Linked DNA regions of Mytilus edulis. The protein of the gene in region 2 interacts with the protein of the main gene of each other region in a pairwise test. Links are inferred from orthologs where the notes say so. Each region holds a gene or a part of one and is shown on either strand. Other genes may lie near its edges.

Region 1 (3,761 bases), about 18 Mb from region 2:
AAGCTCTTAAATTTGGCTAGACATTTTACTATACTGCAGTACTGTTACATTGTATGCAGTTAGAATAAAAAAAAAAGATGTGGTATGCGTGCCAAGTCACAATATGTAAAAGTACAGTCTTCAACAAGCAGCCTTTGTTTATGTTGAACAGCCAGCTATTAAGGGCCCCAAACAAGACTAGTGTAAATCTATTCAAACAGGAAAACCAGGATATTTATGTATATATATGTATTTTTCAACATTGTACTGCTTGTGAGAGGGTAAAAGAGGGTAGGAATGCCCTTTAAATTTACTGTTAGACGTCAAACAGTCATTTTCGGCTACCATTAAGGGTCAATTTGGTTTATACATGTATTTTACTGTGTTTCATCAAAATCCCTTATCCTGATTAGTCAGAGGTTTTAACAATTATTTAATTTTTTTGTACCATTATTTTTTGGGGAAAAAATTCATGATTCGTCTAATTCAGTCTTATTTAAGTGTACATTTTATCATCATGCACCAAATAAAATTAATGCCACTAATGTCATTTGGCAAGAATTTTTACTGTATTCGTCTTAAAGGAACCCCCATTACGACCCTCATAATAATATTACCTGAAGCTCTTCAAGACTTGTACCAGCTTGAAACGTCTCCCAAGTCTGTCTGCTGTCTTTCTCTTTCAGCAGTAACAACACAGCATTATTATTGTTCACTTCAAAGCTACAATGTTCTGGAACAAAACAGTTTTTGGCAGAAAACTTTGCCAGAAAGCTGTAATGAAGTGGGAAACCACTAGCTCCTTTTGCCATGAATTTGATATGACATACATTTGGCAACGGAAACAATTTTGACACAGAATCAGGGACTATCTTTTTCACTTTAAATATGAATGTTACAGTGTCAAAATCTTGTGAAAATTCAAATGTTGGAAATCCATATGAGATCTTTGGTGTATGATTTAAGTATGCAGGGCATTCATTTCCCATCTTATTATCAATAACTGTTTCCTCCTCCTTTGAGACTGGCTTGGCATTAGCTTCTGTTGTGCTGATAACTTCTATTAAAGGGTTTTCAACTGCCTCAAACTTTTTTTCAACCTCATCAGTCTTGGGCTCATTCTCAGGTTTTATTTCTTCAATGAAATTTGGTAGTTTTGGCATCTCTTCTGGTATAACAGGTAACGTAACTATTAAACATCTATTTGATTTATCAAACTTTGCAGAGCCTTGACTTTCATCGACAGCATATGGCAATTCTAAATCTAACTTGTATTTAGCTGGTTCTGTAGACTGAAGTACAAGTTTTTTCTCAAATATATCAAGCTCAACTGGCTTTGAATTAGCAAGCAAAGGTAATTCAATTGAAACAACAAGTGCTTTTGGTCGGGTACTAGGCCTTGAGTCAGGAGTATTTCTGTACTCTTGTAAATCCATGTCAGATCTATGTGTAATGGTATACTTTGGAACTGTAGCATCATCTTCAGCTCTCTTTTCTGCTTGGTTTCTTTTGGTTTTCCCTGCTTTTTTACTCTCTGCTTCTTTCTTCCTTTTAACAGCATCAGCCATTTCTTTAGCCTTTTCTTCACTTGATTTTTCATCGAATGGATATGGCATTTTCCTAATTGGGTCATCTTCATCCAATGGTTTGGCTGGTTCATTTGCTTTTGAACGAATAACAGTGGCAGTGGGTGTACCTTTGTATGGCAAATTTGGCCGTGTGATATTCTTTCTGTCAACTTTCACGCCAAACTGCCGCTCTATACCGTCAATAGCTGTGTCTTCAACAAGGCCTCTGAATCTTATGTTTGACTTAGACATTCTGTACGTATCAGGGTGAAATACTACATCATATACTCTGCATTTTACTTTATGTTTGTCAAGATCATCTCTTGGAGGTGAATGTGAGTGAGGTATTGACCAATTAACACCACTTTTGCCATCTGATGAAGTTTGACGTTTTGCAACCGGCTTACCCATCTTGTCATTCTGACAGATATTGATGAATGCTTTCACGTTACCATCAACGCTAGTTTTCAAGACATGACCAGGCTGCGGGTGGATAAACTGTACGTTCATACCACGTTCTTGTTCCATTTGTGCTATCTCTTGTTCATAAATTTTTCGATTTTCGGGGTTTTGGATTTCTTCGGCATATTCCAAAAATAACTTCCTGAATTGTTCATCTTTCAACGCTTCTCCTATCTTCTTCACCTCATCTTCTGTTATTTTAAAGTCTTCTTTCTTTTCGGACCCCATTTTTCAATTCTTTTGATTGCTACAAAAACAAATATTCGGTCAGCTTTTTGCTCCCAAGGAACGCTCTTTCGGAATTTTCTAAATCGTTGATAGTAGAGGATAAATCTAGAGAAATCAAGCAAAGGGAAATAACTCAATTTCGTGTTAAAACCTGCAGGTTCTCGAATTTTCGCTGTCCAGAATATTTTTAATCACTTTCCACAAATGAAATTTCTGACGTAATATGAACATGAAAAATTAAACGGTATTAATGTTTTTTGAATATCTTTAATTTTAAGGCATTCATTTTAATTGGTAAAAATCTCCTTTAATTTTCTAAAATGATAGAATAATAAAAAATTCTTCAAAAACTACCATTCTCCATTCAGTATACAAAATTACAGCAAAGCAATAATATATGTAAATCATAGCTAGAACATTTCATATAAATATAGTCAACAATACAGCATTTCAAGATTTACTAAAAAATCAACAATAGTGTTCCCTAATCACAATTTGAAATTATTTTTTACACTTATGTCTTATTCTTTATGTCAGTTAATTCAATAACATTTAAATTTGCATCACATTCGCTCCACCATTATCTTTAGTTTTTTTTTTTTATATTATCAACCTAAAAAGAATTTCGTCCTCAAGTAGTGACATTGTACATGTATAAATAATCTGGATATACATTACACTATTGTTTCAGGTAAGGGCTAAGGTTGGTGCCTTTTAAAACGTTTAAACCCACTGCATTTGTTTGCACCTGTCCTGAGTCAGGAACATGATGTTCAGTAGTTGTCATTTCATTTGTTGATGTGGTTTATTTTGTTTTTTAAATAGATTAGACCTTTGGTTTTCTCGTTTGAATGGTTTTACACGTCATTTTTAAGGGCCCTTTATAGCTTGCTGTAGCCAAGGCTCCGTGTTGAAGACCGTTCTTGATAATAAGATATTCAGCAAATAACAAGCAATCATTAAACATTTTTTTTGTTTTGTTATTATCAATCAGTTTTTTTTATCCAAAATCAAAACACATGTAAATATGAATTAATTGAAATGTGCATTATGTACATACTGATGAGTAACACAACACAACGACAAAAATCATCACATTAAGCTTCACAAAAGTAATGATTTTCAATTTTTCCTTAAAAATGTCTTTTTCCCAAAAGTTCACCATGAACATGTGTTAGTATTAATATGCCTTCATAGTTTGCATTAGATAATTATAAGGTTTAAGTTAACCCTGAGTGCACCCAAAACAACAAGCTGAAATTACCATGCCTTTTTAAATTCTGAATAAAATAGTAACAGAAATAGTCCCCTATATTTTGTTTACTCATCAAATTTAATATTATTCCATCATAATCAAGTCTCTTGTTCATCCGGTTATGGAAATATTAAAATGTTATGTGTACCTTGATTGTTCTTAGTACTACTGTAAATTCAGATTTAGTTTTGCATGCTCTTAATATTGCAATTTTTACAAAAATAAGTGTAATTTGAGAAATAAGTAATTGCAATTCCAGGAAATCTTAA
Region 2 (3,761 bases):
TTCCAATTCGCCCTGAGACTGTTCGCCCTGATACCTGTTAGCCCCGGGTATGTTCGCCCTGATTTTTATTTTTTATTATAGTGTTGTGTTGTGTGTATTTAATTGAATATGTTGAAGCACTACATTGTATTTTTAAATGTACTAAGTTATTATGTTGTCTTGCTGCTACGAGGATAAGTTTCTGTGAATTCAAAGACTACAAAGTATTTGACATGAAACAACTAAAGACTAAGTTTTTTATATATTTAACTTTATTGATACATTTTAACAATATCAAATATTCAGTAACAGTTATAACAGTTATAAATTGCTATTTGGATGGAGAGTTGTCTCTATTACTTATTATAAAAAAAACCGGGACATTCTACTTCTAAATTAATTAAAAGGGTTAGTTTGAATTGTATGGGCTTTTTTGTCATGTCGTACTTTGCGCTGACTCCACTGTTTTTTCAAGCTTCGTATGAAATGTTATTTTCATTATTAATCCATCAAAGACAATTCATATACCAATCAGTGATATCAAAGATTTCAAATTATACCTAATCAGCAATCACAATTCAATCAACAGTAATTAAAAGTTATTATAAAATAAAGTGTAAAAAGCAGCCAAGAATTTTACTTAATTAATATTCTGTAGCCCCACAGGACGCAATTACGACTGGACACAATTACGAACGATTTCCAATGTTTGCCCTCTGAGATCATATTTGTTTATATTTATCAATAAATGTTTTTATAAATAAAAACCCTATTAAAAATCCCTTGTTTTCATGATAATACAATTTATGTGCACTTGGTGAATGTTGATGACGATGACAAAATCATTCTGAAAATATTATAAGAACGGCAATCTGACCTGGAAGTTATGTAAATAAATACTTAAAGGTAAGTGCATATTACCTTCTTTTGTTAATATATAGAAAGAAAAATATCTCCTGATTCTGTTCATATGCGTGATGCCTTTTATCATGCCCAAATAACCCCTCAATTGACGTTTTTTAGACTCTTGTGAACCTATTTATGGCCAAAAGAAAATATGTTAATTTTATTGAAAAGTCCAGAGAACTCCGAAAGAAATGTTGACCAATATAAAAAAAATCATAGATGAATGATAAGTACACCACCGAAATGGATAAACTTGAATTTAGTGCTCCTTTAAAGGAGGAACTTACACAAAAACAAAAAAAATCAGAAATCTTTCCTTTACACATGACCAACATTTCGTCTGCAACCACTGCTGAAGTAATTGAAGTAAAAAACAAACTTGTGCTTTTTATTTTCCTATGAAAATGTGTTTGAGGTAAAGATTAATGTATGCTTTATCAATATAGACTGTTGTCATTGATTTTTTCTGCAAGATATATCAATATAGTGCTGTTCGGAATTGCGTCCATATGTGGCTCTCTTGACCCGTAAAACGAGGTCACGCAAATCTTACTAAAGTATCCCAACGTGCATAAAAATTTATGTGGGATATGATGCAAAATGGAAAGCCTTTATACATCTTAAATTCTATGGTATAAAAAATTCAAGAAAAGTAGTCTACATAAAAAAATTATTAATCACAGTTCAAAAATCGTTCGTAATTGTGTCCGGTGAGGCTATTTAACTTTTAATAGATATACATAAATTTTAATATATATATAGATATATTTCTTTCATTAATCATGTTAATGTAACATATACATATCATAAATGAAAATAGGGCGAACGAACCCAGGGTGAACAAATTACCAGGGCAAACAAACTCAGTGCGAACGAACCTAGGGCGAACATGTTATCAGGGCGAACGATCCCGTTACCACAAAAGTGGAGGGGGGCAGCCGACCAGCAAAAAATTTCACATAGCATCGAGCTTCTGTATTTTATGGTACCAATCTGTAAAAAGCCTTATAACCTATTTATCATTCTGTTACTGAATATATGTGATACTTAACATATATGCATAGTACAGTCTTCAAATGGGGTTATTTTTACAGTACAGCAGTAAATCATATTTATAGTCCCTCCCTTTTGAGGACTTCTGATTTAAACCTCGTGTCAGGGACTAGTTTGAGTATGTGTTTCAGCTAGGTCGTAGCATATTTTCAGAAGGTTATCATTCTTATAAACAATAAAAGCGTTAGTATGTTAGTTGATTCAATGATAATTTGCAACTGTCAAACTTATGAAACTGACGGAAGACGGGACCTCATAAGTTTTGAAACCAGTTTTCTATTTGACCATTCTTCTCATACATCTTTAATAATAACTTTGTTCATTTGTTTAATAGATTCTCTTATTTCTAAAAAGTGTTTCAAATGCATTATCACTTTATTTACCCTCTAACAGTCGAGAGATCAGACTGTCAACATTCAATTCTGTTTCCGCCATATTGTCTTATGACGTCACAAATAGTTGTTGACAAGCACCTTGCAAAATCAAAGAACTTCCCACAACGGGTAGTGCAGATCTTTATTAAACTCGATATAATACTTATTTCATATCTATGTTTCATTGATATTCAGTTACAAAAAGCGTTTAAACGGCATTTTGGACTGTTTTCGATGAAATTACCGCCCGTAATTTGGCAACCACATTCCTTTCGTAGATGTCGCTGTTTCAGATATTTTTATGTGATGAATACGATATACAAAAGGCGCGAATTTCAACATCAGTATTATACAAATTTGCCTTCAACAGGAGTCCATTAAGCTTTATTTAAAAACATTAAAATTTCTTTGCTTTAGTTTCTCTATCTATTTTCTTTTTTGAAACATTACGTCTGTTACTGAGGTCTGTTTATGATCATATTTCTGTTATTTTGTAAAAGTCTTTTTATTACTAAATAAGACCTCAAACAACAGCAGGGACTTAATATAGAAAGTCACATTAACAGATCAAAAAGTTATGTTTATCTCTTATCAAGCTGACCCTCATAGCTACGAGATATAAAAAATCTAAAATATGATTTGTTTTATTTACTTATTCATTGAGGGGGGCAAGGGGTTTATCTGTTATGCTGTTATGGGGCAATTTAATTCTTTGTTATCTGTTATTTTGAAAATATTTTTGCTGTTAGCTGTTATTGTCGTATTCTTTGTTAGCTGTTATTGGGCTATTAGTTTTTTTGTTATCTGTTATTGTGATAATGTATTTGCTGTTAACTGTTATTGAAAATTGGAATGTTAGCATTTTTTTTTACAGTCAATATTCGGTTTAATATGAAGATCATTGGACATTGGGGTCTACCACTTCTAACACGTTTGTCCCGTATTCAGAAACATCTCAGGGGCGGATCCAGCCATTTAAAAAAAGGGGGGGGGGTGTTTCTAACCTAGGACAAAAGGGGGGGGGGGGGTTCCAATTACATGTCCCAATTCAAATGCATTGATCGTCCAAAAAAAGGGGTGGTTCCAACACCCGGAACCCCCCCCCCCCCCCCCCTCTCTGGCTCCGCGCCTGCATTTACCCATCACAGTCAGAAGTGAAGTCCAGGACAATTCAAGAACTAGTATATCTTATGATTATCCTTTGTATTAAATTCCATTTTTTTATGAATGTGTATTTAGAATTATCTTAATTTTTTGTATGAGAATAATGTTCCTTGTTTCCCGTACGAACATATTAAATTAAAACAATTCTTAATATGACAAAAAGGAAAACATATGGCCAGGAATATCTGACAAGGATCTCAATTAAGAACTAGGTCCTAACAACCAGTTAACCTTTTATATAATATGGTACTTAGACTCAGCTTTGTGATTCTTTTCAAAGCAGAA

Evidence for each region. The genes of interacting proteins can lie anywhere in the genome.
Region 1: the proteins of serine/threonine-protein phosphatase PP1-beta catalytic subunit (region 2) and protein kintoun-like interact in binary tests that used the Drosophila melanogaster proteins (3 or more experiments, as listed by UniProt). The link is inferred for Mytilus edulis from reciprocal best matches to the Drosophila melanogaster genes flw and Nop17l.

What each region holds. Positions count from the first base shown.
Region 1 is NC_092346.1:42,371,772-42,375,532, forward strand, and holds the start of protein kintoun-like, read right to left. Parts: upstream 2,340-3,761; 5' UTR 2,238-2,339; coding exon 597-2,237; intron 1-596. UniProt on the Drosophila melanogaster protein: Required for cytoplasmic pre-assembly of axonemal dyneins, thereby playing a central role in motility in cilia and flagella.
Region 2 is NC_092346.1:24,741,029-24,744,789, forward strand, and holds the start of serine/threonine-protein phosphatase PP1-beta catalytic subunit, read right to left. Parts: upstream 2,604-3,761; 5' UTR 2,374-2,603; coding exon 2,322-2,373; intron 1-2,321. UniProt on the Drosophila melanogaster protein: Required for cell adhesion in non-muscle tissues and in maintenance of muscle attachment. Vital for larval development.